Caenorhabditis elegans: one gene and its partner. The protein of the gene in region 1 purifies or fractionates together with the protein of each later gene. This does not show direct contact. Each region holds a gene or a part of one and is shown on either strand. Other genes may lie near its edges.

Region 1 (3,801 bases):
GAACCTGCAATCTTGCACTACAGCAATCGCTGCCGAAACTGAAGTCGTTTGGGAAATGACTGGATTTCGGTTTCGAGATTGGGTGGAGCACGTTTTGGAGGTATTCAAGTGCTCGAGGATTCACACAGTTTCAGTTTATAGAACAATGAATGAAGGGAATTGCATAAATGCTTCCAAAGTCATAAAGGAGTTCAGAGTGAAGACAATCAGATTGGCCGCATGCTCGAGAAGTCTTGAGGAAAAGATTGTTACTAATATTCAATGCAATGATGCATTGTTTGTTTCTGAACCTAGCCGGAATGCCCCTATGCCTGCCCATGAAGTACTTCTTCAGAATTTCAAATCGGCCTCGTTTGCATCTATTAGTCCTGGATTCCAGCTCACTTTGAATGATCTACTCATCATAAACAGCTCGTTACCGAAACTCATCAGCTGTCAAATTTCTTCCAAAGACTTGAATATTTACATCAAACATTTGATCAATGGATCCCATCAAATGCTGGAAAATATTCAATTAATCCAAATTGGCGGCACACCTTGGAACAAGAAGATTGCCATGAAGGATGTTCCTTTTATTGTGTACTCGCCGCAGTTTGAACACGTGATTCGAGGAGGTGATTGGGAAAATGAGAATTATTTTCTGGCGACGCGGAACAATGGAAAAAGCCTTGGTCTGGTCTGGACGTTTGTTGAAGAAAGTTGTCATATTGTAATTCTTGGTAGATAATGTTTTTGAATAAATTGTTTATTGATCCAACTCTCATTTTTTTAATCTGGTGCTTTTTTTGGGCAATTTTCGGATATTTTTTCATGATTTTTTGTTAGACGTGAGAGTGTCTAATTTTTGGTTTTTTTCCCTGAATTCTTGAATTTTCTGGAATTCTTTTTTCTCTCTTCCTCCCCGCCAAGCCTAAGCCTAAGCCCAAGACTAAGATTAACCATAAGCCTAAGCCTAAGCCTAAACTTACGCTTAATCCTAAGCCTAAGCCCAAGCCTATGCTTAAGCCAAAGTCTGAGGCTAAGCCTAAGCCTAAGCCTAAGCCCTATTCAATTATAGCAAAATTTCCAATGTAGATATTCATGGCGCCGTGGGCCTGGAAAACTGCAAAAAAGTATGCGAAGCGATGAAAAGACTGGCAGCTGAGAAAATTGATTTTTCGTCGTGGTCAAACAGTATTGTAACAACTGCACTCGGTAATATTCAATACAATAATATTTCACTCAACGAGAAGCTCAACTGGGAATCTGCAAAAGAGAGTCATTAAATACTTGCTCGCAACTTCAATTCGACCTCACCTCCCGATTCTCCCCCGGCACAGAGATTCCAGTTAAACGATGTATTGATCATAAACAGTTCAACTCTACACTTGATCAATTGCAACTGGTTTTCCAAAGACTTGAACATTTTCATCAAAAGTTTGTTAAATGGATCAAATCAAACACTGACATCTGCTCAGTTTCTGCAAATTAATGAAAGACCAACTTGGGACATGGCGCTAATAATGAAAGGTGTCCAACATTTAATGTGTTCGGATAAAGGAGCATTTGTACCTCGAGACGGCAACTTTAAAAGTGGCGACTTGTGCATGATTACGCGAAGCGATGGGAAGCAAATTGCTGTGAGCTGGGGGCTGCTTAGAAATGGTAGTGGTGTTGTTTCTATTTTTTTTGTATGAGCTTACTAATTCTAATTAATTTTCTTATATTGTTATGATCAATAGGCTGTTGTACCATGCCCCAGATACGAGCTAACCTCTTTTTGAATAAAACCGTTATTTTCTTCAATTTGGATATTGGATACATGTAAAGCTATGGATATAAAAATTGTGCTTTACAGGTAGCTGGTATAACCTCAGAACCAAAAAGGGTTTTTTACAGAGAAATTCATTCAGTTCTTGTTTCAGTTCACACAGGCAAAGCGGGCTTCTCCTGAAGAGTCGCCATTGGCTCTAATTGTGATGGGTGTTGTATGAGTTTAATTGTTTAAAAAAAAAGAGGTTTTTATTGGTCTATTTTGAGTCAAGGGCCACTCATCACAAAACCAGCGGATGACAGGAATACTAGGGGGTTAGACGAGTCTTGGTCATCAATGTGGTCCTTGGGTCTCGGGATCTTTTAGCACTTGTCATTGTCTACTACGAGTACGCCTTATAACTATCGATCGAAACAACATCTGCCTACAGCACCTTTTTTGTGCTCATTTGTGTCTCTTGCAGCCATGGCTACCAGTTTCCCGATTCTTCGCCTCCCTAACAAGATAATTAGGAATGTTGTTGAAAATCTGTCATTTTACAATCAGTATGTTTTCTAATATTTATACCCGTTGGCATTACAATTTTCAGATTAACCTTCTCGTTATGCTCCAAAGCAACAAAGTCTTGCGTGACGCCTCTCAGGCATAAAATTCGGAAAATCAATATTACTGTCGACCACCCACTTAAAATACATATATTCTCATCCAACAGTGTAATGACTTATTTGAGTTTTTACAAGTACAACTTTGACCTGTGGAACGTGCAATCTTGCGGTTCTATAATCGCCACCGAATTCGACACAAATTTCTTCGGAACGGAAAGTGTAAGGGAGATAAAAGGATTTGGACTGCGTGATTGTATTGATCATATTATGGAAATATTCAATCATTCAAAAATATTCGAAGTTCATATAAATGGCGTAATGGGCATACAGAACTTGAAACGTGTATGCGAAGCAATGAAAGGACTGACGGCAAGAAAAATTTTTCTCAAAAATTGGACAGACGAAATTGTGCAAAACGTGATATGTAGTATTCAACACAAAGGTATATCATTCAACAAGAAGCTCATTTCGAATTCGTCCTCGCTGAATCATGAAATACTTGTTCGAAACTTTTTTTCATTTTCTGCAAGCTTTCCGGAGCATAATTTTAATTTGAACGATCTTTTAATCATGAACAGCACCCACCTAAGAATTAGAAGTTCTCAATTGGCGTTCGAAGATTTGAATATATTCCTCAAACATCTGAAGACTGGATTGAATCAAACACTGATAGGTGCTCAGTTTCTGAAAATTCCTCAAGGACCAGCTTGGGACGACGTGAAAGTTTTGATGAACGGTATCCCTCATTCACGCTATCGAAATAGCAAACTTGTGTCTCAAGACGACAATTATCAAAGTGGAGATTGTTGCATGATAAATCAAGACGATGAAAGAAGAATTTCTTTAACCTGGAAGTGGACTCAACATGATGGGTCAATTGAGATTGCTATTGTATGAAATGATATTGTTTGAAATAATTGTTAAATAAAAACGTTTTTCTTGTTCTGTTCCGAGTCAGCGGGCCAGTCATCATCCGAAAACCAATGGATCACGGGGACCAGGGGTGTGCACCGAATATCAAAATTTGCCGTTCTTACCAACCCCCAAAAATGTGATATTTTTTGCCGTCTTTTGGAGCACCAAAACTATTGAATTCTTAAGACACATCATATTTCCGAATAAGTTCCGTGTAGTGTGTCTGCTTTAACATCGAAAGAACTCAATTTTGTGTCATTTCATTGAATTTTTGGGGACAAAATCAATACTGTTGGTCAAAATTGTATTGTTAAATTTTTGATGGGTGCGGCACATTTTTTTGAAATTGGCCGTACTCGGCAATATCGGCAAATTTGCCGAGCTCGGCAAACGACAAATTTGGCAAATTTACCGCACACCCCTGACGGGTATATTAGAGGCCAGGCGAGTCTTTGTCATCAATGTGGTCCATCTGTAATTATGTTTCGGGGGTGGGGGACTCGGACTATTTCAGCAGTCGTCATTGTC
Region 2 (3,481 bases), on another chromosome or scaffold:
AGTTTTCTTTCCCATTTCAGCGGAGAATAATTATTTTTTCATTCAGTGTTTCAATTTATTTTTATTTTTCAGAAAATGGGTATTATTTCCATTATTTTCCTTCTTATTGGGTCTTCGACGGCTGCAGTCCTCGAACATCAATTAATATGGAAAGAATCTAGAATGATTGAAATGATCAGAAATGGAGAATATCCTGCCTATTTGGAGTACCGCGACCGTATGGTTGCTAGTAGATCATCTAACCTGGCTACTGTGGTTCAAAGCACAACAGATTATGTGTACTATGAGTACATGGGAAATATTACTGTTGGAACTCCTGATCAAAACTTTATTGTTGTATTAGATACCGGATCAGCCAATCTCTTAATTCCAGGAACTAATTGCACGTTAGTATTCCTGTTTTGAAATTGAATAACGTTTGTGATCACAATTTTTCGAAAGTTTTTTACAGAACGTACTGTGAGAAAAAGAGATTATTTAATGAAAAAGCTTCATCCACATATATTGCAACCAACCGCCCATGGCAGATCAAATATGCTAGCGGTGATGCCTACGGGACATTGGGAATTGACACTGTTAAGGTTATTTGATGGAAATTCTGAAATTTTACATATTTAAATGCATAAATAAATTGTAAAAAAGTATTAACAAAAATTTAATTAGGAGTAAATTCGTGTCTGGTACTGTGAATAACTTTTCTTGGAGTCATCTAGGATAAAATGGAATTTTCAGATCGGTGGATCAGGAGAAGCACAACTCGCTATTCCAAGATCATACCTTGGTGTTGCAGACACTGTCGGATCAGATTTCAAATGGGTTCGTTTTTTTCAAGTTCCTTCACTTTCACTATTTTGCATTTGCAGAGCCCAAAAGAGGGAATCTTTGGTCTTGCATTTACTGCATTAGCTGTTGACAACATTACCCCTCCAATCATCAACGCTATCAATCAAGGACTACTTGATCAGCCACTTTTCACTACATGGTTTGGTCAGAGAGGTGCTCCTGGAACTTCTGCAAGTGGTGCATTCACTTATGGAGGATTGGATAAAAACCATTGTGGGCCAGTTATTGGATATGCGGAACTAACTAATGCTAGACATTTTCAGTTCCAGGTATTTCTGGAGAGTTTTGATTTTTGTATTTTTTCTGAATTTCTAGGCAACCGGATTTTCTCTTGGCTCATATGTATCCACAACCACATATGAGGTAATCACCGATACCGCTACTTCATTTCTATGTGGACCTCAAGCTGCAATTGACAACTTGGCTAAAGCTGCAGGAGCTACTGTAAGCATGTACTTTCTGTGATTGCGTTAAAAATTACAAATTGTTTCAGTGGGACCCAACAAATCAAGTATTTAACATTCCTTGTGATGCCGACGCGGGGCCAATTAAGATGAAAATTGGCCAATTCAACTATGTTATTCGAGCAAATAACTACATTTTGAAGATTGATGTAAGTTTTGCTACATATCAAAAATTATGTGAATAATTTACAGACAAACTCCTGCCTTTTCGCTGCAATTCCACAAAACTATGCTGGTTTCGGACCTTCATGGATTCTCGGTGGACCATTCATGAGACAATATTGTAATGTACATGATATCGGACAGAAACGTGTTGGATTCTGTTTATCTCTTGCATAGACTCTTTCATAAATACATACATTCATATTCTCGTATTCTGATGTTTCTTTTGTTTTTGTGGTTCCTTGTCCTGTGATTTCTGCTATTTTCGTATTTTGTGGAAAATGAAAAGATGATGGACCATCGAAATGAGAGGAGGAAACGTAGTTTGTACACATGAATAAGTCACTTGACGCGTATCCATGGAGGTCTTTGTCTATAACGTTTTCCTTTAAATTTGGAGCGTCTCAAGTTCTTGGCTCATTCTGATTTTTTGACTCATTCACTTCCTCGAAATGCCTTCTAATTTTTACTTTTTCTTTTTCGCATTCCTAATTTTTCTTATAACTCCAACATACCCGCTCCAATGCCATCAATGCGGAGGTCAGGAAAACATGTCTAAGCTAACAAAGAAAATGTTCACTGAACTGAATATCAGCCCTGATAAGTACTACGGAGATTGTAAAGCAACGTCCGGTGCCGATGTTTGTACCAATGGAACATTTTGTATCAAAAGAGCAAGTATGATTGTTGTTTTTTTTTACGAATCACTGGTACCATTCTCTTTTTAGAAATCCACAGAGTTGGCTTCAATAGTATCAATTTCAAATGGACTTCATACACAAAGGTATCTAATTTTTTTATAAACTTGTAAAAGTATGCAACTGATCCTAACTTTCAGGGATGCGCTAGCGTTCGCGAAGACAACAATCAGACTCCATCAAACGGATGTTTTGACTTGAACCAAAAGGTCAAGAAAACTGGATATACTACTGTAAGTTGCGCTATTTTTACAGCACAGTTTTCAAACTTTATGTTTGTAGGAGCGCCTCGATTGCTATTGTGACAAAGACTTCTGCAACTCCTCGACGGCCGTTTCAATGACTTTCACCACAGTATTTGTGTTCTTCTGGTTCTACAAATCAATTTGAGAATGATGTTAGAAATATTTCTTGTTGAAAAATATTGGGAATTAGTAATTTATGTAGCTTGAGAATAATTGCTTGGGTTTCTGCTTTTCACTATAAATTCAAAATTTGAGATCAATGAATCTTTCATAGTTTTATAATAATTCCCAGATCATTATTTTCGTCTTCATCCTCTTCTTCAAAATCTTCACAACATTCCGATATTCTTGGAAGACTAATCGCGGAAGGACGTTGTAGGGGTTTTTCAAAGTCAATAGCGAGTTGAATCTAAACAAAATAAAAATTAATTAACTATTGAGCCTTTTTATATTCACCACATTGTCCAAATGGCTATCCGAAAGTTGGCTCGAGCTTCTGTACCAGTAATCTTCATCATCTAAACTTTCAATATCCAGAAATTTCAAATTTGCAGCTGAGCTTCTTCGTGATCTAGATATTTCAGCTTCTTGTACAGCTTCTTCGATATTTCTTTCCTTTCTCTGAAATGAAATTTGTAATTGGAAGAATTTTCTAGAATTCTACCTTTTCCGACATTTTCTTCTCAAAAAGATATTGCCTTCGCTTACTTGATACAGCGATCCACGAGATTTTCGTGAAGTATAGAATTAGCTCAGTTAAAGAAACAACTGACATTCCAAACCACAAACCGTTCAAACCAAATATTTTATCTAAAATTCAGAAATTGTTTCATTAGTAATCAAAAAACTCACTGAAAGTATTCAAAATAGTTGTTGCTTTAACTTGAGAGTATGAAGTGTAGAACAATTCCATAAAATGAATATTTATTATTGCTATATTTTGTCTGAAAGTAAGACTCGTTGAGCCAGAATTTGTTTTCAAATCACACCTAATGTAACTCGCGCTGCGATTGGTTTCTCTTGTAAGCCATTTCATTGAATTATAATTAAATCCGTCACCATAAGATGT

The links.
Region 2: the proteins of fbxb-108 (region 1) and nssp-59 fractionate together in Caenorhabditis elegans (co-fractionation; one large-scale study listed by BioGRID). This does not show direct contact.

The regions. Positions count from the first base shown.
Region 1 is NC_003280.10:2,762,751-2,766,551, forward strand, and holds fbxb-108 (F-box domain-containing protein), read left to right. Parts: upstream 1-2,213; 5' UTR 2,214-2,218; coding exon 2,219-2,298; intron 2,299-2,342; coding exon 2,343-3,255; 3' UTR 3,256-3,296; downstream 3,297-3,801. Other genes in the region: fbxb-106 (F-box domain-containing protein), read left to right, coding at 1-727.
Region 2 is NC_003283.11:8,639,785-8,643,265, reverse strand, and holds nssp-59 (Protein quiver), read left to right. Parts: upstream 1-1,899; 5' UTR 1,900-1,921; coding exon 1,922-2,147; intron 2,148-2,197; coding exon 2,198-2,253; intron 2,254-2,307; coding exon 2,308-2,400; intron 2,401-2,449; coding exon 2,450-2,557; 3' UTR 2,558-2,670; downstream 2,671-3,481. Other genes in the region: asp-13 (Peptidase A1 domain-containing protein), read left to right, coding at 76-386, 452-581, 733-816, 864-1,112, 1,159-1,287, 1,337-1,456, 1,500-1,646; acd-4 (DEgenerin Like), read right to left, coding at 2,681-2,821, 2,869-3,033, 3,077-3,222, 3,265-3,356, 3,402-3,481.